7 linked regions of the Sus scrofa genome follow. The protein of the gene in region 5 interacts with the protein of the main gene of each other region in a pairwise test. Links are inferred from orthologs where the notes say so. Each region holds a gene or a part of one and is shown on either strand. Other genes may lie near its edges.

Evidence for each region.
Region 1: the proteins of DTX2 (region 5) and ALKBH4 interact in binary tests that used the Homo sapiens proteins (3 or more experiments, as listed by UniProt). The two-hybrid records come from large-scale screens. The link is inferred for Sus scrofa from reciprocal best matches to the Homo sapiens genes DTX2 and ALKBH4.
Region 2: the proteins of DTX2 (region 5) and GLYCTK interact in binary tests that used the Homo sapiens proteins (3 or more experiments, as listed by UniProt). The two-hybrid records come from large-scale screens. The link is inferred for Sus scrofa from reciprocal best matches to the Homo sapiens genes DTX2 and GLYCTK.
Region 3: the proteins of DTX2 (region 5) and ARNT2 interact in binary tests that used the Homo sapiens proteins (3 or more experiments, as listed by UniProt). The link is inferred for Sus scrofa from reciprocal best matches to the Homo sapiens genes DTX2 and ARNT2.
Region 4: the proteins of DTX2 (region 5) and STX12 interact in binary tests that used the Homo sapiens proteins (3 or more experiments, as listed by UniProt). The two-hybrid records come from large-scale screens. The link is inferred for Sus scrofa from reciprocal best matches to the Homo sapiens genes DTX2 and STX12.
Region 6: the proteins of DTX2 (region 5) and NCS1 interact in binary tests that used the Homo sapiens proteins (3 or more experiments, as listed by UniProt). The two-hybrid records come from large-scale screens. The link is inferred for Sus scrofa from reciprocal best matches to the Homo sapiens genes DTX2 and NCS1.
Region 7: the proteins of DTX2 (region 5) and RFX6 interact in binary tests that used the Homo sapiens proteins (3 or more experiments, as listed by UniProt). The two-hybrid records come from large-scale screens. The link is inferred for Sus scrofa from reciprocal best matches to the Homo sapiens genes DTX2 and RFX6.

Annotation. Positions count from the first base shown.
Region 1 is NC_010445.4:9,799,731-9,803,230, forward strand, and holds part of ALKBH4 (alpha-ketoglutarate-dependent dioxygenase alkB homolog 4), read right to left. Parts: intron 3,405-3,500; coding exon 3,207-3,404; intron 1-3,206. UniProt on the Homo sapiens protein: Dioxygenase that mediates demethylation of actin monomethylated at 'Lys-84' (K84me1), thereby acting as a regulator of actomyosin-processes.
Region 2 is NC_010455.5:34,432,092-34,436,202, forward strand, and holds the start of GLYCTK (glycerate kinase), read left to right. Parts: upstream 1-1,311; 5' UTR 1,312-1,494; intron 1,495-1,685; exon of another isoform or gene 1,686-1,702; intron 1,703-3,703; exon of another isoform or gene 3,704-3,808; intron 3,809-3,918; exon of another isoform or gene 3,919-4,111.
Region 3 is NC_010449.5:49,257,985-49,261,917, forward strand, and holds the start of ARNT2 (aryl hydrocarbon receptor nuclear translocator 2), read left to right. Parts: upstream 1-1,133; 5' UTR 1,134-1,148; coding exon 1,149-1,704; intron 1,705-3,933. UniProt on the Homo sapiens protein: Transcription factor that plays a role in the development of the hypothalamo-pituitary axis, postnatal brain growth, and visual and renal function. Specifically recognizes the xenobiotic response element (XRE).
Region 4 is NC_010448.4:84,949,827-84,953,326, forward strand, and holds part of STX12 (syntaxin-12), read left to right. Parts: intron 1-1,207; coding exon 1,208-1,313; intron 1,314-3,500. UniProt on the Homo sapiens protein: SNARE promoting fusion of transport vesicles with target membranes. Together with SNARE STX6, promotes movement of vesicles from endosomes to the cell membrane, and may therefore function in the endocytic recycling pathway.
Region 5 is NC_010445.4:9,908,867-9,912,366, forward strand, and holds part of DTX2 (probable E3 ubiquitin-protein ligase DTX2), read right to left. Parts: intron 316-3,500; coding exon 1-315. UniProt on the Homo sapiens protein: Regulator of Notch signaling, a signaling pathway involved in cell-cell communications that regulates a broad spectrum of cell-fate determinations.
Region 6 is NC_010443.5:270,315,194-270,318,693, forward strand, and holds part of NCS1 (neuronal calcium sensor 1), read left to right. Parts: intron 1-388; coding exon 389-467; intron 468-1,785; coding exon 1,786-1,874; intron 1,875-2,223; coding exon 2,224-2,301; intron 2,302-3,500. UniProt on the Homo sapiens protein: Neuronal calcium sensor, regulator of G protein-coupled receptor phosphorylation in a calcium dependent manner. Directly regulates GRK1 (RHOK), but not GRK2 to GRK5. Can substitute for calmodulin. Stimulates PI4KB kinase activity.
Region 7 is NC_010443.5:44,773,721-44,777,220, forward strand, and holds part of RFX6 (DNA-binding protein RFX6), read right to left. Parts: intron 2,398-3,500; coding exon 2,288-2,397; intron 1,316-2,287; coding exon 1,198-1,315; intron 1-1,197. UniProt on the Homo sapiens protein: Transcription factor required to direct islet cell differentiation during endocrine pancreas development. Specifically required for the differentiation of 4 of the 5 islet cell types and for the production of insulin.

The sequences.
Region 1 (3,500 bases), about 110 kb from region 5:
AAACTAAAGCGGGGGTGGTGGGGGTATGAAATGCCAGGGACATGTCTCTGCCCAGGTTCCCCAGGAAGCAGCGCCAGAGACAAGAGGCTGGGGGCGGGTGGCGTCCAGGATGTGGTGCTGAGGAGTCAGGCCTCTGGAAGGAAGAGCAGCGAGGCAGGGCAGGCCAGCCCAAGGCAGCCGTACCCGGCGGGTCCACACGGGGCACAGCTGGGCTTCGGGACTACAGACGAGATCCGTTTCCACAGGACCCAGCTGCGGTTCCAGTCCCAGCTTCCCCTCAAGACAATCAAAACCACACATCCAGGCATTCCTGCTGTACCACAGGGGGATCGGCAGCATCTCTGCAGTGCAGGGACACAGGTTCGACCCCCAGCCCAGCATAGAAGGTTCAGGATCCTGTCTTGCCCCAGCTACAGCATAGGTCACAATGGCAGCTTGGATCTGACCCCCAGCCCGGGAACTCCATATGCTGGGGGGTGGCCAAAAGAGAAAAGAATAAAAAAAAGAATTCTGAGATTAAAAAACAGAACAAAACCCGCCAAAAAAAAAACACGTGTCCACACAGAAACCGACGCTCGAATGTTCACAGCAATATTCACGACAGCCAAAATGTGGAAACAACCCAAGTGTCCACCAGCAGAGGAACAACGAACAAATGGCAGTCTAGCCACACAATGGGACGTTCCGCTGCCAAAAGGACCAAAGCCCTGATACAGGCGGCAAAGCGAAGAACCCTGAGAACACTGAGCCCGGTCCAAGACACCTGACTCAAAGGCCACGGATTACAGAATCCCAGGCATTGGACTGTCCCAAAGAGGCAAATCCAAGAGATGGGAAGTAGATTAGTGGTTGCTGGGGGATGAAGGAATGGGGGGAGTGACTGGTAATGGGTATGGGTTTCCTCTGGGGTGATGAGAATGTTCCAGAACTAGAGAGTAGTGATGGCTGCATAGCACTGTGGATACGCTGAAAACCAAAGGAGCGCCTTGTACCCTTGAAATGGGTGGGTTTACGGTAGGTGGATTCTAACTAAAAAACAAAACTAAGTCAAATATGCTTACTCCAGTAAAATGTATTTAAGGCATTCCCGTCATGGCTCAGTGGCTAACGAATCCGACTAGGAACCATGAGGTTCGATCCCTGGCCTCGCTCAGTGGATTAAGGATCCCACGTTGCTGTGAGCTGTGGTGTAGGTCACAGATGTGGCTTGGATCCTGAGTTGCTGTGTGTGTGGCTGTGGTGTAGGTCAGCAGCTGGAGCTCCAATTCAACCCCTAGCCTGGGAACCTCCATGTGCCGCAGGTGAGGCCCTGAAAAGCAAAAAAAAAAGGTTACTTAAAAAATAAAATAAATAAATAAAAACCAAACCAAAACAGCACTAGGGAGAAGCCCTGGAGAATGAACCGCAGATCTGTGGCCTGAGGTGAGGGGACCCCGAGTGGAGGGTGGCTCCATCTGGAGGGGAGTCTCGCCCCTTCCCCGTCCCCACCGCTCAGTGCCAGGCCGGCCAGCCCCAGAGGGCCACCTGACCCCAGAAAGTGGAGACAAAATTCAGGCTGGTGGCCAGTGCAGGGTCTTCCGGGGCATGAGAAGGCCTCTGTGTCTATGCTGAGACGGGAGGTCTGGCGGGTTGGAACACAGCAGTGACTCAATCGACCAGGTGTCAGTGGGGTCACTTCCTCCCTGTTGAGACTTCAGAGGGGCTGGGGCTGCAGCGGCAGCGAGGGGTCGGGGGATGGTCTCAGGTTCAGGATATGTTTTGAAGAAACAAAGAGCTGACAGGAATTACCAGGGAAAGATAGAGAAGAATCTGGAAAGATCCACAGTTTCTGGCCTGGGCAGTGGAAGATGGAACTTGCCAAGATGGAGACGAGGCAGGGCTGTGGGTCTGGACCTGTTGCCACAGCTCAGCTTAGGGGCTGCAGACACGAGTGGGGAGCCCAGCTGCCAAGCCGGGCCCACCGACAACTGGCCGCTGAGTTGAGGCGTGGCGGTTTTCTTGTGGGTTAAGCAAGGAGAGCGGAAATAACTCTTTTGAGAAGCTCTGCTGCAGAGACGGGAGAAACGGAGCTTCCTGGGAGGCCAGGAAGATCCGCCCTTGAGGAGAGAGGGGAGGGACGGGGACGAGGGCTTCTGAGAAGAGGGGCTGGCAGCCGGCTCGCAGCTGGAGGGGGCCTCGGAGAGAAGCTGGGCGCAGGCAGAAGGGGGCAGTGTGCACACGGGCACCCCTGTGGAGGCACCGATTCTCCCAGAGAGGCGCGGTCGTCAGTGGAGGGCCTGCAGGAGGTCGGCTGGACCGCTGAGCAGGAAGAGCCTGCTCTGGGTGGAGAGCCAGAGCCGGGAGGCCGGGGGCAGGTGGGGAGGCAGCTGGACCCGCTGGGGCTGTGGCGGAGCGGAAGGGCCTGACACTGAGAGAGGGAAGGGGCGAGGGACTGAGGATGGGGGAGGCCAGGTGACAGGAGGAGGGAAAGGTGGCTGATGGCAGGTCCCGGAGGGGGCGAGGGCTGCTGGAGATGAGGAACAGGAGAGAGGAGTGGACCCAAGGAGGAGGGGCTGTGATCCCCAACAAAGAGAAGGTTCAGGATGTGGACGCCTGAGCATCAGTGGCAACAGGCATGAGGAGATGAGAAACTGATGGGGAGAAAACTTGGGACGGGAGGGGGCACCTGGTGACCTTCAAGAAACTATTCATGGGAATTCCCGTCGTGGCCCAGTAGTTAACGAATCCGACTAGGAACCATGAAGTTGCGGGTTCCATCCCTGGCCTCGCTCAGTGGGTTAAGGATCCGGCGTTGCCGTGAGCTGTGGTGTGGGTCGCAGACGTGGCTCGGATCTCGCGTTGCTGTGGCTCTGGTGTAGGCTGGTGGCTACAGCTCCGATGAGACCCCTAGCCTGGGAACCTCCATATGCCACGGGAGCGGCTCAAGAAAAGGCAAAAAGACAAAATAAATAAATAAATAAAAAGAAACAGTTCGTGATGGGCACCAGCCCTGGGCAGCTGGGGAGAGGGTGGGAAGAGCTCAGGGCCGTCTGCCTGAGCCCGCCCTGCCAGCGGGGTCTCATCAGGAAAGTGAGCAGGCCCTGCCCCTTCCGTGACACACACCCCCTTCAGTAGCCTGGCCCCCCTGACCCCCCAGATCAGGCGGGCTTGTCCCCAAAGGCCTGCGTGACTGGCCGGCCCTCCTCCCCCACTCTGCACCGACCTACCTGCTTCCTCCGTCCAGACTGTGAGAGCTTCCAGGGGTCACGGTCCATCAGCTGCACCATCTCGGCTTCTTCCTCCCGGGTCACGAAGTCCTCAATCAGCGTCACCCCGGGGAAGGGGAAGGCCCAGCCTTCAAAGTCGGACTCCTCGGCCCCCACAGCCCAGCCAGTGTCGGTGTAGTAAATGAACCGGTGTGTTTTCTGCAAAAGAAAGATGGGGTCCTGGAGTCCTGGGGCCCTTCCTCAGCCCTGGCCTTTCTCACTCTCATCTGTCATAGGGAAGAGCATCTGCAGAAC
Region 2 (4,111 bases), on a different chromosome or scaffold from region 5:
AGGTTGCGGGTTTGATCCCTGGCCTTGCTCAGTGGTTTGAGGATCCGGCGTTGCTGTGAGCTGTGGTGTAGGTCACAGACGAGGCTTGGATCCCCATTGTTGCTGTGGCTCTTGCATAGGCTGGTGGCTACAGCTCCAATTCGACCCCTAGCCTGGGAGCCTCCATGTGCCACGGGAGCGGCCCAAGAAATGGCAAAAAGACTAAAAAGAAAAAGATAATATATCTCCTGCTAACAGTCTGATATAACAGCGCTGGCACAGTAAATGGTGTCTGTTTATGAGAGTCTGGGACTAAATAATGAGAGGATGCTCAAATTTACACCCCCTCTTCTGGCCCCCAGCACTGTCGGAATGTAATTACAAAAGCAGAAATTTCTCAACTAAGAGTACCACTTCTTACTCATCCCAGCAGCTAGACAGAGCGTTTGGTCCACCTAGAAGGCACTCAGGAAACGTCTCTTGAGTGTTGGAGGAATGAATAAAAGCATTTCTCCCGAAGAAAACATTAGTAACAACAATGTACCCTTCTGCACCTTTTTTTTTTTTTTTTTTTTTTTAAGGTCCACACCGGGGCATATGGAGGTTCCCAGGCTAGGGGTTGAATTGGAGCTGTAGCGGTGGGCCTATGCCACAGCCACAGCAAAGCGGGATCTTTAACCCACGGAGTGAGGCCGGGGATGGAACCTGCGTCCTCGTTGATACTAGTCCGTTAGCTATAGCTGAGCCACTAGGGGAACTCCAGGAATTGTCTTTTTGTATAAGGGAAGGTAACAAGCCAGGCTCAGGGTGAGAGCGGGGACTCCGTGGGAGGCCTAAGATCTTTCGTGTTTACACACTGCCTGTGTGTTCGAGAACCACGAAGCAGAACTCTCTTGCTGAGTTGGAGCTGTGATTTGGTCGCCCAAGGGAGAAAGGGTAACCGGAGAATTGTGGAATAACAGCGGTGAGGGGAAAGGATGACTTAATATGGCGCCAGAGTGGATGGGTTGTGTAGAGTGATTTTTCCTCCCGCTTGATTAGTCCAGTGCCTGGCACCTAACAGTAGGTCGGAATGATTTGAGACTGATGGGATAATACAGAATAAAGGAGGGGGACGGATTACAGCAGTCGGTGAAGCGGGGATTATTATTCCACTGTGGAGATGAAGACACTGAACCCTGAAAGTGCCTTCAGCCGGGGATGTAGTCGGTCAATGATGAGCCAAAACCCCGATCCAAGATGCCAGTCCGGATCCTCCAGCAGCTCTCCCTAGAAGTCCCAGCCCCGCCCCACGCACTAAAAGTTCCGGATTCCGCCCCGCCCCCTTGGGGGACTTCCGGTCACGAAAGGTGGGATCCGCGGCCTGGAGCTGTGGGGCAGTAAAGTCCGCACCGCCAGGGCCACCGGGTACCTTGGGCTTGGTGACGGCGGTTGCTGCCCTTTATTTCTCGGGTCACTACTGGACGTTACGCGGCAGCCATTTCCTTCGTGTTGGCCTGAGGCCTCGGCCCCAGGGTAACGTCATTTCCGGGGCTGGGCGGACAGGCGAAGGAGGAAAGGGCTCCAGCCCCGCTTGGTGGGGGGAGGACTCGAGGCGGGTCTGCTCAGTATTTCCGGGTTTTGCGCAGGATCGCTGGGGGTTTTAGGAGAGGCGTTGTCACGAGTTGAGTTGCTGGGTTTTGCAAATAAAAAGGCAGGGCGTGTAATTAAATTCGAATTTCAGGTGAACAACAGATAAGTTTTTAAGGGTTCCTTTGTGGCTCAGCGGGTTAAGGATCTGGGCGTTGCCCCTTGCAGCGGCTCTAGTCGCTGCTGTGGCGTGGGTTCCACCCTTGGCCCGGGAATTTTCACATGCTCCTGTTGCGGCCAAAAAAAAAAAAAAAGGAGTTCCGGTGGTGGCTAAGCTAGTATCCCTGAGGACGCAGGTTGGATCCCTGGCCTCACTCAGTGGATTAAGGATCCCGAGTTGCTGGGAGCTGTGGCAAAGATTGCAGACGCAGCTCGGAGAATTTGGCATTGCTGTGACAATTGGTGTAGGGTGGCAGTTACAGCTCCGATTGGATCTCTCGCCTGGGAACTTCAGTACGCGGTGGGTGGGGCCCTAAAAAGACAAATAATAATAATAAAATTTTTTTAGTATAGGTATGTCCCCAACATGGTATGGAGGTTCTTACATTTAACAAACTACTTGTTTATCTGAAATTCAAATTTAACTGAGTGACTTGTACTTTATCTGGCTACCTTAGTCTTGGGCGCCCCCTGCCCTGGGCTGGGATCCTCTAGGCCCCTATCCATCAGAGAAACTGGTACAAAGTTCACCCAGGCTGAAAAATCAACTATTGCTACATGCCAAAGGGCTTTTACCTCTAATTCTAATGGCCCAGCCCCAGAGGTCCTAGGCCACAGCTGAGCCCATTTTGGATCCCTTTGTGTTGCCTTTCACAGCTGATCTGGGGCATGCTTGGTTCTCTTCCGGGAAAGCTGAGTTTCATGTAGACTAAATGGCTGAAGGCTAGAAGTTGCCAGGTTTTTTTGCTTTTTGTTTTTTCCTTCCTCCCTCCCCTCCCTCCTTCCCTGGCCATAGATTGAATATGCTGCAGCTGTGGCGATGCAGGATCCTTTACTGCACCAGGCCAGGATCGAACCTGCCTGTATGAGCAACCAGAGCTGCTGCAGTCAGATTCAGCAGGTTAAGGATCCAGGCGTTGCCACTTGCAGGGGCTCTAGTTGTGGCTGTGGCGTGGATTCCATCTCTGGCCCAGGAATTTCCTCATGCTGTAGTCGTGGCAAAAAAAAAAAAAAAAAAAAAAAAAAAAAAGGAGTGCTCATGGTGGCTCGGTGTTAACAAACCCCTGCTGTAACCATGAGGATGCAGGGCTTCAGGGCAGGAACTTCTGACAGGTTGTTTTTTATTTTTTGTTTTTGTCTTTTTAGGGCTGCACCTGAAGTTCAGGTTCCCAGGCTAGGGGTCAAATCAGAGCTGTAGCTGTCTGCCACAGCCACAGCAATGCCACATCCAAGCTGTGTCTGTGACTTACACCACAGTTCACAGCAACGCCGGATCCTTAACCCACTGAGCAAGGCCACGGATCGAACCTGTGTCTGCATGGATGCTAGTGTCAGATTCGTTTCTCCTGAGCCATGATGGGAACTCCTGCCGGGTGTTTTGAGTGTGGGATAAGATGATGTTTGGGTTCCATTGTTAACAGTGGACAGCTTCAGAGAGTCCAGAGATGTGCAGGGGAGACTATTAGTCTTAATCTCATTCCACTTTTCTTTTTACACATGAGGCCCCATGAGAGAAATCGAGCTGTCCTTGTGGTGGATCTGGAGCCTGATTCCCAGCCCCTTTCTCTTGCTCTGTCCACACTTGCTGCTGCAGTCAGCTGTCAGCATTTATGGTGGGCATTTATTAAAGTAATGCCTTTTTTTTTTCTTTTTCTGTTGTACTTGTAGCATATGGAAATTCCCAGGCAAGATGGAATCTGAGCTGCAGCTGTGACCTATGCCTCTGTCAACACAGGATCCTTAACCTGCTGCATCACAGCTGGAACTCCAATAATATCTTTTTCCTTTGTCACAGCCACACCTGCGGCATATGGAAGTTTCTGGGCTAGAGGTCAAATTGGAGCTGCAGCTGCAGGCCTACACCACAGCCATAGCAACACCAGATCCAAGCCACATCTGCGACCTACAACACAGTTTGCAGCAATGCTGGATACTTAGCCCACTGAGTGAAGCCAGGGATCTAACCATCATCATCACGACACTATGTTGGGTTCTTAAACTGCTGAGCCACAATGCACATTCCAGTAATGCCTTTTTCGAGGTGAGCTCTTTGGGACTTTATTGTCCCTAAACTCCTCTGCGGCCTCTTGACCTTCACCTCAAGACTTCTTTAGCCTTTACTGTGCCCAGTGGGGAAAATGACTACTTGGCCTCAGCTGTGGGAGCTTGGCCTTTGCCTGCTCCAGCCACACGGCTCTCACCTCTGTGGGTGGTGTGACCCAAGACTGGTTATGTTATGTCAGAGCCAAAAGTCATGTGTTCAGCAGGGGTGGGTCTGACCATGTAGGTGGAAGGGCATCCTTTTCTGTCCAACAGATTGGGCCCCATGGTACCTGTGGCCATG
Region 3 (3,933 bases), on a different chromosome or scaffold from region 5:
TGGCTGATGTTGGGGAAATCAGGAGCAGCCCCTTGAAACAAGCATGGGGTGGTCCCAGCTGATACCTGAGTTGTCCTCTCTCTACCCTAGCCTGACCATCTTGACACCAGATCCACACATGCCTTGGTCCTCCCTCGAAGTGTCTTTCTTTCCCACCTCTTCATATCCTGCTCATTTCTGCAAAGCCTGCTTTGCATTTTCCCACTCACTCTACCCTCTCTCCGCCCTCAGTCATTCACCAGGGACCACAGTGCCTCCCCAGGCAGCTGTGCGCTTCTTGATGCAAATACCTTATTTTGCTCTTCTCCTGGCCACCCCAGACTAGAGAACCACAGATCCCCCGTGGTTCTCTTTCCATGGTGCACCCAATACCTAGCTTTGTGCCTGGTACACAGCAGACATTCAACTTCGTGGAATCGATAAACAAATGAATATCATTAAGCGCCTATTAGTCAAATCAATAGTGACAAATACTCCCCGGAAGACAGTGCTTATTTGAAAATACATCCCAAGCATTTTTTCTCTATGAGTCTCTCCACCCCCTAAAGGCTTCTTTGGAAGGATTTAAGACAAACTGATGGTTTTGGCAAACATGTCTACATTTAGGGGCCATCTTGCCCTTGGCGGCTCTCACCTGGGATGTGTTCATTCTTCCATGGGCCCTTTGCAGGGCGCCACTATAGTGTCGTTTTTTTCCTAAGAGCCAAGATCTCCCCACAGGCATCCTAGGGTCTGGCAGAGAAACAATCCCTTCAAGCTTAACTTCACCAGGATATGCAGACAAAAGCCATTTAAAGAATCTTTATGAGGTGGCTGCATAAATAAGGCTCTTGCAACAACTTCGGGTAATAACCAATGACGGTCACCATGCAAGAAGGAAAGCAGAGCTGACAGCCTTTCTCAAAGCCAAGTCATTCTCTATTTCCCCGGGCCGGTGGCCTCTGCCTGGGTGTTTACGTAGTGTACTTGGAAGCTGTCTGAGGCGGTGGCCTTGGAGGTGTCCGTGGCCTTAGGAGTTCCTGAGCGCGGGGGCCATGGCTCTGGCCCAGGGAGCCCAGCAGCGCAGCCCTGGCATGCTAAGTGGGCAGCACTGGGGCGCCTTTGTTCCTCGCCACCGGCTCTGAGGACCCGCTTCCCTCTGCATCTTAATGGGCTGCGCATCCACGCCGCCCCCCTCCCCGCCCCCGCCCTGGCCCTTCTGGCCTAGGGACAGCGCCCTCCGTGATGCATCCCGGACACCTGGGGTGGGGGACCCAGTCAGTAGGGAAGAGGCGCGCCTCGAGTCCCAGCCGGGGCAGGCCGAGCACCTGCGCGGGCTCAAGGGGGCGGACCCCCGACTCGGGGGTCCCGCCACCCGCGGCCCCAAGTCTCGCGGTGCTGCGGCCTGGTCCGGGGAGCCGCGAACCCGCGCCCCCCGCCGCGTGACAAAGACAGGAGCGGGAGGAGGCGGCGGCCAGGGAGGGGGCGGAGGCGATAAAGGCGGGGGCGGCGGGCGGCCGCGGCGGCGGGAGAGCGCGGAGGCAGCGCCCGCCCGCGCCGTCCTTTGTGTGGCGGCGGCGGTGGCGGTGGCGGCGGCGCCTGGGCCTGCGCCGGCCGCGCCTGCCCCGGGGGGCGCCGGGCTCCGCGCCGCCCCTCCGCGCCCCGCCCGGCGCGCGCCCAGCCTTCCGAGCAAGATGGCAACCCCGGCGGCGGTCAACCCTCCGGGTGAGTAGCTGCCGCGGGCCCCGCCGCCCGGCGCAGCCCGCAGGCCCCGCCTGGGGCCGGAGCGGGCCGGAGGCGCTGGTCGCGCCAAGCGTCCCTGGGAGCGCGGAGCCGGGCGCTCACCGCCCCCCGGGTTGGGTGGGGGGGCGGCTGTCATTCGGCGCGGCAGCATCAGCACCAGCACCAGCAGCGGCATCTTCATCCCAGTCTCTGCCCCATCTCGGTCTCCAAGATGCGCCGGACGCTGGCCGCGCATCCCTGGAAACCAGAAGGGCCGGTCGGGGATCCCCTTAAGTTCCGAAAATAACTACCTTTGCTTTCCCCATCCGACACATTTTTCTCTTCCGGTCCGGCCCCTGTCGCATCAGGGCGGGTAGGAGGGTGCCGCGCTGACGGAGGGAAAAGTTTGGAGCCAGGATTCAACAGGGTGGATTCTCCCCGATTCTCCCTTGACCGCCTCGCCCCGCCAGCGCAGGTCCTTTGAGCCTTTTTCGACCAGCTACTGTGTACCCTCATCTTTAATACCCACCCACCCACACACACCCGTAGAAACGTGGAGTGGAGAAGCCCGGACCAATTCAGCATCCTCTGCTTTTTAGGGCTGACCTGTTGGCAGGGTGCGATCTATGACAACTGTGCCCATTGGGAATATTTCAGAAATGGGAAGACATCATGATCAAGGGAGAATATTGAATTGTTTGGGGACTGTAGCCGGGAAATTCTATTTTCGTTGGGAAAAGGCCCTACCTTTTGAGTAGGACAACCTGAAGGGTGTCCGAGCATGGAGAGGGAGACACCTAGGCTGACTGATACCAAGTTTTGGGTGTTGTGTAGTGACTGCTGCGGCCATGGCATGGTGCTCGGTCCCTGCGAAGGATGCAGGGAGGTCAGGCAGAGGCCAGCCCTCAGGAAGTTCCCGGTACAGGGAGGTGGGGGCGGGGGGGGGTGTTGAACATCTACAATGCCTAGCAAAGAAAAAAACATGTATCACAGAGTTAAGAGTGAAGGATCCTTTCCATCTAAAGTGGTAAGGGAGGGCATTTAGAGATCTGGACTTTTGAAGAATGGAAGATTTGAATACACGGAGCCAGGTGCTGAAGGGACTTGCAGGAAGAGGGGATGGTGCAGTGATGGTGGACTTCCTCTGAGCATGTGCAGGTGCCAGCCAGGGGTGGGGGCACTGGGGGTTTAAGAGGGAGCAGCGGGATTTCACAAAGAGTGAATTGGCAGTGGCCAGGCTTTAGAGGGCTTTGAAGGACAGGCTAAGGAGTGTGAACTCTCTCCCTCCACAGTAAGAGAGAGTTCTCCAGGGTGTCAAACAGGGAAGTCACATGATCCCAGCACTTCTGGAAGATTAGCAATGTGAGGTGGCCTAGAACAGGGGAGCAAAACTGGAGGCAGGGAGGCCGGGTTGAAATGAGGCAGGTGCTGGGAAGGTGAGAGTTAGCAGCACCATCTTGGAATAGAGAGAGGAGGGATAGCATCACTGGGCTGGTGGAGGAACACAGAATTTGCTTAGATTTGGAGTAAGGGTAAAGGAAGAGACCACGGATACACAGAGGTGAGATGTCCGTGGAGACACGGAGGTGCAGAGCCTGAGTTCGGAGGAAGGAGGTTCTGTTAGTCTGAGTAGGGAGTCTTGGAAGAACAGTTGAGTTCTCTGTCCAGAATGCTGAGTGGGAACGTGGCTGGTTTGAAAGCAGTTGTGCCAGTTTGCTTGCACCTGAAACCTCCCATTGCAACCTGTTCAGCTGCTTAAAAATCAAGAGCAAATTGATCAACTTAAATGTTAGGACATTAAAAAAAGTAAAAGAAGTTAAACAAAGGTATTTTAGTTTGATATAGGTTTACATTGGGAAGTAGAAATAACATCAGAGGCAATGTACACACACACACACACACACACACACACACACACACCCCCATTTAAGGCATTTTGTCCATTACATTGTTCTGTGAACTGAATGGTAGAAATATAGGACAGCTGCCCGGCTTGGTAGTGCTGAACATTAATGCCTGTGCCTTGGACTGTAGGACACCTGAATTGTGCAGGTGCAAGGGATTGTTTCTATTATTTGTAAACACCTCGGCCCGCTTGATAGACAGTGATGCCATTTCTTTTCTCTGTTGGCATAGATGCCAGAGATCTTGAGCGTGGTGAGACCTTCTCGAGGGGAAATTCCCTGAGGGGGTCACCTTTCCTCTTTATCCACTGTCTTTCCTTTGATCGGT
Region 4 (3,500 bases), on a different chromosome or scaffold from region 5:
TTCTAAGAAATCTCTGATATCTCTGTGTTGGGAAAAGTGTTTAGCTCACTAGGAGTAGATATGAACCCACAAATCTACAGATTAGGAGGTCTAAATAATTTTACCTCTAGTTCAGAATTAAGTTCTTCAAAGTTCTTGGGTCTCTGTTTACTTTTCTCTGAAATGGAGGCAACACATTCTTCAAAGAGTATTAAAAGAAAAAGCAGGAGTTCCTGCTCTGGCACAGCTGGATAAGGATCTAGCCTTGCCACAGTTGTTGTGTAAGTCACAGCTGCAGCTTGGATTCAGTCCTTGGCCTGGGAACTTCCATATGCCTTGAGTGTGGCTGGGAAAGGAAAAACAGTTTGTATCTGAAAGCTATCTCCTTTCTTAACTTCTCCACACTGAATTAACTAATTGCACAGAAATGTACTGATGGTATTAGTTCAAAATGTAAAATGTTTTATCAGAGATATTATCTTCCCCCCACTATACTATGAGTACCTCAAAAGCCTCTAAGTCAGTTTTTTTATCTCCAGCACATGGAGGAAATTCTTTAAATATTGTTGAGATAATGTGTGATTTATGCGTACTGTTGGAAAAATACTTAACACTGGATTTGCAAAGTGTTCTGGGTCTAGTATAATGTGTCATATGCCTTTCTTCTAAATATGGTACCTGAAAAGAAGAGTTGTATTTCACTAGCTTTTTACTTAGATTTACTTTGATTTTACAGTCATTTAACCTAAAGCGTAACCTCAAGGAGATTCCTGAAAACCAGGAGATGTGATTCTGTTGGACTAGTTGGTGAAGCACCAACAGGTCGCTTAGCCTGCTCTCCTCTAAGGATCTCATGTAGGACCTGAGAGACCAACACAGCTTGCACTTTGAGAGTGACCTGGGAGAGAATAGGCTAGTTTACTTTGTTGACTTCAAATCTCTGCCCACTGCTTGTCTAGCAAGCCCCAGCAAGATTGCAGAGTGTACCCCTGAATGGAAACAGCAACAGGTCTCATCTGTCACAATTCTACTTCCTCTTAGTTTTACCCATGAAAGCTAAGACTTTATTTTCTTGGTGTTACCAGCTCTTTGCTTCTGGTGATGAAGAATGTGGCCTTCAGGGCCTTGTACTGATGCCAGAGGAGTTGGAACCCTGGTACTGTCTTTGGGGGGGCTTTGCTGGCACCTTAGAGAGGAGGAATCAGCTAATGTGCTTGTCGCCCTGCAGCCATGAGGAGTGGAACCAGATGCAGAGCCAGGAGGATGAGGTGGCCATCACCGAACAGGATCTGGAACTCATTAAAGAGAGGGAAACAGCGATTCGGCAGCTAGAGGTGAGAACCAGGTCATGTTTTTTGTCTGACTCGTATCTGTAATCTCTAATCCACCTTGCTTTTTCTCTTGGTGATTATGAAAAAAGACGAAATGAGTTGTTGTGTAGTTTGCATATTATGTCTCAAGGTAATCATGGTGAGCTTGAACTACTCTTACGACAGTATTGGCTATCATGTCTGAGAATACCCCAATTCTTTTCTCAGTCATCATATCTTATATGGTCTGCATGAGAGTATGTATAGGGAATAGAGCAAGGCAAACAGATATTTTATTGCTCATTAAGACGCTGTCTCCAGAGTTCCCATCTTGGCACAGCGGAAACGAATCCGACTAGGAACCATGAGGTGCGGGTTTGATCCCCAGCCTCACTCAGTGGGTTAAGGAACTGGCGTTGCCGTGAGCTGTGGTGTAAGTCGCAGACGTGGCTCGGATCCTGCGTTATTGTGGCTCTGGTGTAGGCTGGCGGCTTCAGCTCTTATTCGACCCCTAGCCTGGGAACCTCCATATGCCAGGGAGCGGCCCAAGAAATGGCAAAAAGAAGAAAAAAAAGACGCTATCTCTGAACCTCAGTGCCAACCTCTGGGTTTGGTAGAGCTCTGCAGAGAGCTTAGACCGAATAGCCCCAAATAAAGGCAGGCCAAAATGTTTGCTCCGTTTTTGTGCATCCCAAAGTTCACTCTCAAGTTGTGGATATCACCTCAGTGGGTCAGAGAAATAGGAACAGTTTCTGAGGTAGGTGTTGAGGGAGAGGTATTGAGGCCTTTCTTAGCTGAGTTCCCCAACTTTAATTTTGCACAATGACCAGTAAAATATCCTTAAACCCAAGAACTTTTCTCATGGAGATAGAAGACTGCCATCCCTGGGGCAGTGGGGAGAGGAGGGTTGTAGAGAGAAACTTGGAGCTCTTCACTGACCTTCATCTGTGGCAGTGGTTCTGAACCCTGACTGCATTTTAGAATTATTTGGAGATTTAAACAATTTTTATTGCCTTCAAAGATGTCATATCTTTCCTTCCCCCCCACCCCCTTTTTAATGGCCGCACCAGAGGTATTGGGAAGTTCCTGGGCCAGGGATTGAATTCGAGCCACAGGTGCAGAACACCAGATCCTTTAACCTACTGCACCAGCTCGGGGATGGAACTTGTGCCTCTGCTGCGACACAAACCGCTGCAGTTGGATTCTTAACTCACTGTGCCACAGCAGGAACTCTTTTTCTCTTTTTCACCTATTGCTCCTAATCATCAGCTTGATTCTTTAACATTAGAAATACTGTTATAGCAGGGGTAGAGTTAGGGTTAAGGAGTGGACTGCAGTGTATGTCAGGAGTGTAGTGGGCACTGCACATTCAACAGAATTAAGGCCAGATTCCTTAGGGCTGGATTTTCATATCCAGTCATTTCCTGCATTTAACATACAAACCCTATTCTAATGGTGGAGTAACACACTCCTGTGTGTCTCTTCTGTTCTCAGACTATACCTTGACACTTCTGGCCCCCAAATGTGTGGGTTTTTTCCCCATCAAGCAATTCTGCCACACCACAGGGATGTCCTAATTTAACTCAATGCTGACGCTTTCTACCTGGAGTTAGTTACATCGGATCACACAGGTTGAGGTTTCAGTCCCACAGGACACGCACACACATACACACAGACACACAACTTCAGATACCAGTCACAAGTCCAGATTGTCCCCTGTGGTTCTGACTGACATGGAGGTTCTTGTGATCACCTTCCTTTAGTTTGATTAATTTGCTAGAGCAGTTCACACAACTCAAGAAAACAGCTTACTCCCTAGATTACCAGTTTATTATAAAAGGATACATCTCAGGAACAGCCAGATGGCAGAGAGGCACAGGGCAGAGTTTGTAGGAAGGGGCACAGAACTTCTGTGCCCTCTCCAGGTGTTCACCAACCAAGAAGCTCTCAGAACCCTGTCCCTTGGGCATGATTGATTAAATAACTGGGAGTTCCTGTCATGGCTAAGTGGTTAACGAATCCGACTAAGAACCATGTGGTTGCCGGTTTGATCCCTGGTCTTGCTCAGTGGGTTAACAATCTGGCATTGCTGTGAGCTGTGGTGTAGGTCGCAGATGCAGCTCGGATCCTGCGTTGCTGTGGCTTTGGTGTAGGCCGGTGGCTACAGCTCCGATTAGACCCCTAGCCTGGGAACCTCCACATGCCGTGGGA
Region 5 (3,500 bases):
CCACTCCTGTGTGGCCTGGTGGAGCGATGATGGTGGTGACTGGGTAAGGGGGCCCTGCTTGGCGCCGCACGCTCCGGCAGAAGCTGGAGGTCTTGTTGGTCTGCGTGTGGGTGGCATAGTTGACAGTGTAGTTGTACCCCAGAGGAGCCAAGTCCACGAGCTGGTTGCCCCTGGCCACCTGCTGCTCCAGGTAGTCACAGATGCTGGCTTCATAGGGTGTCCAGGAGCCTTCATCACTCAGCCACTCCCAGACGATGCCCCGGCCTGGGGCTGAGTGCTGCGGAAACAGGTGCCTCCGCACAGCCCGCATGGTGCCTGTTTTAAAAGGAGTATTACATGTAAATGGCTAATCTGCTAGACAACCCCACCTCCAAAACAAAGAGAGTTTAAAAATTATTTTTTACCTGCAACCAAAGTAAAACAACATGATCACAGTGTATATCATGCTGCTGTTTGACTTAAAGGCTGGCATTGATCATTTCTCCAAATTTGGGGTGAAGGGCAGAGAGCTCTATGCAAAGAAACTGTGGACCAAAGGGATCAAGATGGCAGAGGGGGACCAGCGCTTCTCAGCAGGACTGGGGGACGCTGCAGATGCAGGTCAAAGACCAGCTGTGGCTCAGACTCCAGGAGGCTTCACAGAATATTCCTAATGAGCAACTAGAGATTATCACCCTAACTGAAGTAAGTCAGAAAGAGAAAGACAAACACCACATGATAGCCCTTGTATGTGGAATCTAAAATACGACACATGGAGAGTTCCTGTTGTGGCGCAGCGGAAACAAATCCGACTAGGAACCATGAGGTGGCGGGTTCAATCCTTGGCCTTGCTCAGTGGGTTAAGGGTCCAGCATTGCTATGAGCTGTGGTGTAAGTTGCAGACACGGATCAGATCTGGGGTAGGCTGGTACCAACAGCTCCAATTGGACCCCTAGCCTGGGGACCTCCATATGCTGTCGGAACGGCCCTAAGAGGACAAACAACTAAATAAATAAATAAAATAAAATATGACACATGGGAAGTTCCCGTCGTTGTGCAGCGGAAACAAATCCAACTAGTATACATGAGAATGTGGGTTCGATCCCTGGCCCTGCTCAGTGTGTGAGTGATCGGCATTGCCGTGAGCTATGGTGTAGGTCACAGACGTGAAAACTAAAATATGACACACACACGGGAGTTCCCACTGTGGTGCAGCGGGTTAACGATCTAGCTTGTCTCTATGGAGGTGCTAGTTCTATCTCTGCCTAGCACAGTGGGTTAAGTATCTGGCATTGCTACAGCTGTGGTGTAGGTCACAGCTCTGGCTTGGATTGATCCCTGGCCCAGAAACTTCCATATGCCAAGGGTGTGGCTGAAAAAAGACATGAACCTATCTACAAAACAGAAACAGACTCCCAGACATACAGAACACATCTGTGACTGACAACAGGGTGGGAGGAGGGAGTGGGAGGAACTGGGTGTTTGGGGTTAGTAGCCAAACGAGTCCATTTAGAACGGATAAGCAACAAGGTCCTACTGTAGAGCACAGGGAACTATATCCAATCTCCTGGGATAGACCATGATGGAAAATAACATATAAGAGAATGTGTGTGGAGGAGTTCCCATCGTGGCTCAGTGGTTAACGAATCTGACTAGGAACCATGAGATTGAAGGTTCGATCCCTGGCCTTGCTCAGTGGGTTAAGGATCCGGTGTTGCCGTGAGCTGTAGTGTAGGTGGCAGACGTGGCTTGGATCCCGCGTTGCTGTGGCTCTGGCGTAGGCCGGTGGCTATGGCTCCAACTGGACCCCTAGCCTGGGAATGTCCATATGCCATAGGAGTGGCCCTTTCTAGGCAAAAAAAGACAAAAAAAAAGAATGTATGGTGTGTTTGTACATGTATAACTGAGTCACTTCTGCTGTATAGGAAAAACTGGCATAATGCTGTAAGTCAGCTATAATTAAATATATATATTCCTAATGATAAAACCTATGTAGCCTGATTTAAAAAACTGAAAACAAAATGTCTGAAGAAAATCAAATCATCCATAGTCCAGCCACACCCAGAGGAAAGCAGGTAATTTCCACTGCAGTGTATTCCTTCCCATCTCGTCTCTGTCTCCTAAGCAGGTACATTCAGGTGAGGCTGACAGCCATACTGAAAACTTCTCCCATTTTCATGTATGATGCTGTAAGTATTTCTTAGGTCTCTAAAGCTTTGTAAAACTCATTATTAACTGTTGCCCAATTCTCTTTCATGGCTGTACCATTCCCTTGGACTTCTCAGGCAGCAACTATTAGGAAACACCTGTGGTTAGCTTATATTAATAAACCAAACCTGAAGATTAAGGCGAGAAAGAAAAAATCCCTTTGAGCCACGCTTCCAACAGCACTTGCCAAAAGGTGATCATTGCAATTGCCCTGGACCTCGACCACGGCCCTGCCTCCATCCACAGCTAGAGAGAGACTCTTACGCCCCAAATCGGATGGCGTCACTCTGCCCAAACCCTCTCAGGGCTCCTCCTTTCAGGAGAAAAGCTGAAGTCCCTTCAAGGGATGGAAAAGCCCTGTAAGACCTGCTGCCCTCCTGGTCTGTCCAGCCCTTCCTGGTGACCAGGCCACCTGAGCTCAAACTTCAAATCAACCTCTCCCTACAGTCCTGTACCTACAAAGGCCAGGGATGCGGCTAGACAGCCTACAATGTAGTCCCGCCCCAGAGTCCTGACAATCAACAATGTCTGCAGACACTGTTCCACGTCCTAGAAGACAAAATCACCCCCAGTTGAGAACCACTGATTCAGACAACAGGGGACAGACCTGGGAAGAAGCTGGTAGCCCCATTCTCAGTAATACTGATCAAAACACACACACAGGGAGTTCCTTTTGTGGCTCAGCGGTTAACGAACCTGACTAATAACCATGAGGTTGTGGGTTCGATCCCTGGCCTCACTCAGTGGGTTAAGGATTCGGCATTGCTGCGGCTGTGGTGTAGGCTGGCAGCTACAGCTCTGATTCGATCCCTAGCCTGGGAACTTCCATATGCTGCGACTGCAGCCCTAAAAAAGCAAAGCAAAGCAAAGCAAAACAAAACAAAACACACGCACACACCCACACACAAAAGAAACAAGAAAGTGAAGTAACCTGCCCAGGTGCACAGGAAAGTGAAGTAACCCGCCCAGGTGACCCAGCTATCACACAAAAGCCAGAACTCAATGCCAGGCCCTCTTAACTAGCATGCCGTGCCACCTCCATGCTGGCTGGCCTGCCTGCCGCCAGCCAGACCCTCTCAACTCTGCCGACGCAAGCATGTATTTCTGGTTTGGAAGACAAGGAGGAAAGGGGCTGGGAGGGCCTCTGCACTGCATCCACAAGACACCCTCTACCACTAAGCAGGTAAACTCACACCTGTGTTACCTATCACTCACAACAGCCGCCTCCTGACTGTTTCAGGGGCAGGAGGACCCTCAGCATCAATTCTGTGCCCTCAACACCTAGCCCAATGCCCAGTCTGAAGCAGGCACTT
Region 6 (3,500 bases), on a different chromosome or scaffold from region 5:
GAACTCTGTCCTCTCCAAGCCTCAGTTTCCTTATCGGCAAAACAAATAGGATCGGACAGTCCAGAGCCCCACCTTCTAAAGCCTCTGTGCCTGTGGTTCAAGGCCAAGGGTCTGAGAGAGGGGATTCTGGGCGGCTCCTGCCCAGAGAGGGTCACGGGCGCTGGGGGTGCCTCTTCCTCCCGCCAGATGTGGAGTCAAGCTCTCCCTCTGGCCTTACCCTGTCCCTCCTGCCTGGTCGGTCCCATTTCTGGCCCTCCCCTCCCCCTCCTTCCCCATCCCTCACCCCTGCGTCTGCTTAGCTACCTGCTTCTGCCCATCACCACCTGCCCAAGGTGCGTCCTGACCGGGCAGCTCAGCATTTACCCCCATCCCTCTCTCCCTGCCGCAGGACGGGCGGATTGAGTTCTCCGAGTTCATCCAGGCGCTGTCGGTGACCTCGAGGGGAACCCTGGACGAGAAGCTGCGGTGTAAGTCCTGCCCGCTGGGCTCCGTCGGGCGGCCGCTGGGTCGTCCTGGGCTGGAGGGAGGCCAAATCTCTGGGCCAGGCCGTCTGTCCAGGACTGAGGGTGGCACAGACGTCCTGCCCTTCCAGGTCGGAGGTGGTTTCCTGGAGGCGGCCAGGCGGGTGGACAGATGGGGCAGGAGCACAGGGCATTCTCGAAGGTGCACCTGGCGCCGGGCAGCGTGCGGTTCAGACCCGGTTCCAGGGCTGGATCCAGCACTCGGGAGGCTGTTTGGATGACTGACGGCGTGTGTCCATTTACTGGTTCACCTAACAGTTATTGACCTAACGTGGCCTCATGTCTGTGCTGGGCTGGAGGCCCGGAATCCACAGGTGTATGAGATCGAGGGGCACCTGCTCTCGTGGCTGTCCCTGTAGCTCAGGGACTTTATCCAAAAGAGCCCATAAAACTGCAGCCGGGGCTGGAAGAGGGAGGTGTGAGCCGATCAGAGAGGAACTGACCCTGTTATGAGTTGGGAGCCGAGCTGGGAAGGGTGAAGCTGGCAGGGGGTCGGGGGGCGGGAAGAGGGTTCCAGGCAGGGGATCAGCATGTGCGAGGCCTGAGGAGGGTCGAGAGAAGGCTACTGGGGGAGAGGCTGCACCCGTGCTGGCGCGAGAGGGGATCTAGCAGGAAGATGAAAGCAGCTGGGCCGGGATTCACTTCCCACTGAGACAACTTCACCGCATCGCATCGGCACCGAGAAAGCACTGCAATTTCTTTCTTTCTCTTTTTAGGAATAAAAGAGGATTTTATTTATGCCAAAGCTCCTCCCCCCTCCCTAGGCATATTATTTTCTTTTCCAAGTTGACCCTAGCTGGATCCAGCATAGTTGTGGAAAGGGGGTGGGCCGAGAGGAGGCAGAGGCAGGGGTGGGGAAGGAGAGGGGTGGCTTTAGGGCTGCTCCTGGGCTCCCTTCTGTCTCTCAGCATCAGCCTCCGAGGCCTCAGCTCTTACAGACCCAGCCCCCTCGGTTTATGTTTTGGCTGTGCCTGCGGCCTATGAAAGTTCCCAGGCCAGGGATCGAACCTGCACCACAGCAGTGACCCAAGCTGCTGCAGTGACAAGGCCAGATCCTTAACCCGCTGCACCACAAGAGAGCTCTGCCCCCTCCTTTTTACATTTACGCTTTTTCAGTAACTAGGTGACATGGTGTGTGTGTGTGTCCCCTGTCTGTCTTGGCGGGATGAATAACGGGGCTGTTGGCGGGGTGCCGAGGGGAGGGGGAGCGGCCGCCAGCCCAGCCCCGGATCAGGGCTCACTCGCCCTGGCTGCTTGACTGCAGGGGCCTTCAAGCTCTACGACTTGGATAACGACGGCTACATCACCAGGAACGAGATGCTGGACATTGTGGATGCCATTTACCAGATGGTGGTGAGAGGCCTGGGCCCTGGGGGTGTGGGGGTGGGGGCAGCAGCAGGGCATCAAACTCAGCGATGGGGCCTGGCCCAGAGGCGGCATCCCCACGCGGCCGCCCTCCTGCCTGGGGTGGGAGCTGGCAAGTGAGGGTCACTGCCTGGGGTTGCTCTGTGCCTCTTGGGGGAGGGCGGGGGCTGCTGATGGGGCTGGTCCAGAGCAGAGGGCGGATGGGGGCACGGCAGGGAGTGGGAGGGAGACGCAGTCTTCACCTGGAACCAGTTCAGGTCTGGGGGGCATGGTTGGGGGCCAAGGGCCCAGAGGGCAGAGGGCCAGGAGCCGGCCCCACCTCGCCTGTCCCCGACAGGGCAACACCGTGGAGCTGCCAGAGGAGGAGAACACCCCCGAGAAAAGGGTGGACCGGATCTTTGCCATGATGGACAAGGTGAGACCCCTGGTGTGATGGCCACTGGTCCAGCCCGCAGACATGCAGGGTTTTAAGTCAGTTCGTCCAACCCTTTTTCCTTAACTCAGCTTCTTAACCTTTTCAGTTTTTGCCACAGACCCCTTTGACATTCTGGAGAAGCTGTCTCAGAATGTTTTTAAGTGCATCAGATAACATTCGTAGGGTCAAAAAGAAAGCTATTTTGGAAGAGACTTATCCCATTTTTTTTGGCCACACCTGTGGCATGTGAAAGTTCCCGGGCCTGGGATTGAACCGGTACCATAGCAGTGACCTGAGCTGCTGCAGTGACACCACCAGATCCTTAACCTTCTGTGCCACAAGAGAATGCCTCAAAATATTTTTTAAAAAGTATTTGTGATGTGGTTTTATATGAGCTGCTTCTTCTTTTTTTTTTTTCTTTTGTCTTTTTAGGGCCGCATCCGCGGCATGTGGAGGTTCCCAGGCTGGGGTCTAATCAGAGCTGTAGCCGCTGGCCTACACCACAGCCACAGCAACGCCAGATCCGAACTGTGTCTTCGACCTACACCACAGCTCATGGCAACGCCAGATCCGTAACCCACTGAGAGAGGCCAGGGATTGAACCTGCAACCTCATGGTTCCTAGTCGGATTCGTTTCCGCTGCACCACGATGACGGGAACTCCCTTTTTTTTGTCTTTTTAGGGCCGCACCTGCGGCATATGGAGGTTCCCAGGCTAGGGGTCTAATCGGAGCTGTAGCTGCCAGCCTACACCACAGCCACAGAAACAAGGGATCCGAGCCACATCTGCTACCTGCACCACAGCTCACGGCAACGCTGGGTCCTTAACCCACTGAGCGAGGCCAGGGATCGAACCCACAACCTCATGGTTCCTAGTCAGATTCGTTAACCACTGAGCCACAACGGTGGCTGATAAGGTTGAGTGGTGGGTTTAACCAGCCCGAATTTCAAAGTGCTGATCTGTCTTCTTGATGCTTTGCAGCAGCTGTGATGTGTTACAAAAATGCTGTGATCTCCACAGCTGACAAAGTCACAGGTACTTCTGGTTCCATGGGGGATTGTCACCTAGATTCATTATGGAAGGAAGCGCTAAATTTCAGTTAGATGTTAGTGAAAAGAAAGACCTCCTTTTTCCCTATTTTAGTTCACAGACCTGCTGAATTCTATCCAAAGACCCCAGGTTAAGAAAGCCTTCTTTTT
Region 7 (3,500 bases), on a different chromosome or scaffold from region 5:
TAATTACATCAAAGGAAAATACGGATGAAAGTGAGACATGCTTTATGCTTTAAGAGGGCACACACTGGAGTGTGATAAGCTTTAACCTGAGGAGAATGAGCTCTACTCTGCTCTATTTCTGTTTACTTTGTACTAAATAATTAGACAATGGCCAGCATGGTCTGAAAAAAGTGTCAAGTAAGAAGATGTCTTTCTAACCTGGAACAAAATGCTCTTTCATTTGAAAAAAAGGAAAAGAGTAATTTTCATGTGGAAGATGTCCTAGAAAACCTTAAGCTTATTTTTACTATTCAACAGATTTCCCAACAAGTCTTTTTTCATAATAAAGTCAGGTTTAAATGCTGTATAATTTAAGAAGCCTTAAATAGAAGCAAGCTGTTTCAAATAGACTCAATATATTTTGTTCATCCCTCAATGTAAGTTCACTGATCTTATCTAATGCTGTTGAAAATCAAATAAAGACAGTTTTCTTAATTGCAACTACTTTACAATGTGATGATTTCTCAAAATGCAACTACTAAATGCAGAAGTACTGTCCATGAGATAGCACTATAATTACAAACTAGGAGTCTGAGAAATTTTAGGGAAAAGAAGGTATTCAATTTTTGAAAAAGCTAACTTGACTCAATTTTTCATAAGTCGTATAGATCAGGAAAGATGGTTCAGAAACATATGACAGCATGTCTTCTAAGCTGCTCTTTGATTCTTGGAGTACAGCTATGCGGGTTCCTGGAAAAGATGCAAACATTTTCCATATTGCAATGAATAGTGCCTTTGGAAAATAATGTATTAATTATTGTTTATTTGTTTGTTTAACAAAGAAAATTTATCCAAGCACTGATGAAGTATAATGGTGATAGCTGCTATTTATTGTGTTTACCGGGTGTTAGGCAATGTGGTCTTATTTATATCACCTCATTCAAGAGCCTATATAACCCAATGAAAGAAATATTCTTCCATTTCTACAATGAGCAGACTAACTTGGGCGAAAGCCAAGCCAAAGAGAAGCAGTGTTAGGAGTTAACCCTGCAAGTGATCTGATTCCAAAACCCAGGCTAATAACTACCATTCTCTATTGGCTCAGTAGTCAAATGTAAGAAGTGACAGTGCCACATGTTTAAAAATTGATAGGAAATGTGACTGACAAATGAATGATATAATTTATCTAAGAAGAGTTTTATAAAGCACTTAAGATACCAAAACTGGATGCATTGTTCAAGGTGAGATTATGCATTACTCGAGCACCAAAAAAGCTCCACTTCAGCAGAAAGTCTTGAGCCCTCTTCTTTAACGATCTTCCATTCTGTTTGCTGGTCTAAAAGTAAAGTGACAAAATGAAACTATAAAAATCTGTCATCTCATTATTACATGCTTCCTACATGTGATCAAACAGTAGATAAACTTTCTGACAAATGGACAGATGGCAAGGCATGCCATTTTATCATCAAATAAAATGAGTTGTTCTGGGATTTTCATTTTTGATCTGTCTTTGCTGCCATTTTTAAGGTTAATAGATCTTTATTCACTATGTTTTTGTCACCTAATAGAACTGGACAACAAAATGAAATAATTTACAAAGTATTTTCTCTCTTAATTTTCCTTTGACAGAGCTTTAAAAAGAGCAGAAGGTGAAGTGTGAAGGAAAGGTTATATATTTCTGTGAATGATTAACTCTGACTTCTCTGGTCCTGAATGATAATCTGTTTTCCTTCCAGGAGAAAAAAAAAGTCCTTACACTATAACTAGTTTCCTTGATATGGAATGGCTAACACCAACTGGTGATGGATATATTTGTTCTTATGGCCTTGTTTCATGATGGATGACTTGAAGGTTAACTGAAAGAGTTGAAGAAACCACACAGAAAACACAAAATACTGAGCTCCTAGAATTTAAAAATGTAGATATTTAAAATCATATTTTCTGTCAGCTTTTATGAAAGTGTGATTTTTAAGAAAAGGGCCAGATCTTTCCAGTTTTTCAGTTTCTCTCTCACTATTGATGTTACTCCACTGTAACTTTACTGACTGGTAGGGAAGGCATAGTGTCTTGCAGTCTGTCCGAAAATGATAAGCAGAATTCAGTCTATGCCTAGTGCTCTCAAATCTGCCATATGTCTAACCATGATATTTGATTTGCCTTATTTGCAGGGTTTCAAAAGCTTTTCAAAGCATTTTTACACACAGCCTGTTGCCATCCCCCATCATTCAAGCATTCAAGAAATTATAGCCAGTTTAGCATTTAGCATTATCAAAAAAAATTATTTTTAGAATTTTTCATTGAAAAATACCTTAATAACTCTCTGTTCTACCACAGTATCCAACCATTCGATAAAAGCCTCCACAGTGGCATTCTTCTTAAGCAGATCTTTCAGTTCTTGGAACACAGTGATAGAGTCATCTACCACGCAAAAAGAAAAAAAGAAAAAAAGAAAGCAGACTTTCACGCTCTACTTTGAACCCAAGAGAAAACCTACAACTAGAAATTATTAATAATCGCATAACATAAAAAGGAATGACAGGTAGATTAAATATGTTAAAGAAATCAATTTTATATCCTGAAAATGCTTAACAAAAAATCCTTAGTTCTTTACTTTTCAAAATTTTCATCATAAGTGTATCTGTCTTGGTATATATTGAAATATAAGTTTATATTTATACACTAGGGAAGAATAAGTTGTCACTAGTGATGATTATTCATTTTGATAATGAATAATAATGAAATGCAGTGCTTTCATTAAATGCAACAGATTAGTTGAAAGCTAAGGAATCAAGTAAGCTAGACCTGTGAATTTCCTGCTTTCTGAAATATCCTTTTTCTTTAGCAAAAATTAAATTCTGCCCTGAAGAATTATGCCATTTAAATGAATAATCTTTTATCATGTAAAAGTCAAAGGGGCAGTTTAGAACTATCATTTTATTAAAGAGTTTGAGGTTTACTGAATCCCAGAGGGTAATATAATATTATGTTAGGAAATAGAAAGCAGGGCTGAGGCTGAGGTTGAACCATCCCGAGAGCAGTGTGCTATAGCCTATAGGAGGCTGCACTTTTTTGTCTTTTCAGAGAGAAATGGTGGGAGAAAGACTGGGTTGTTATCACTTGAAAATGGAACCTGATTGTCTGGCCACACCTACTAGCTTGGTAAACTCTGTTAGATTGTCCAAACCTGAGCAGGGGATTTCTGCTTTGAAAAACAGTATTGCATTGAGATTTTTTGATATGCATTATGTCCCATAGGATGCCAAGAGTGTGAAACACATGGAAATGTGTATGCATATAACCTAAAACTCATGAAAACTCACAAAACTCAAAACCTATTTTGATTATTTCCAGGTTCCTATCTATCTAGGTTATTTCTAGGCCAGGAGATTATGGAGGGCTTTTATTTTCTTCTTAATATTTTCTGTATTTTCCAGGTTTTTCACAACCGTAAGCACAACTGGTTTTAAAATAGAGAATAACTTTTTAAAATTAAAAATATTCCTGTTAAACCGGGTTTCTCA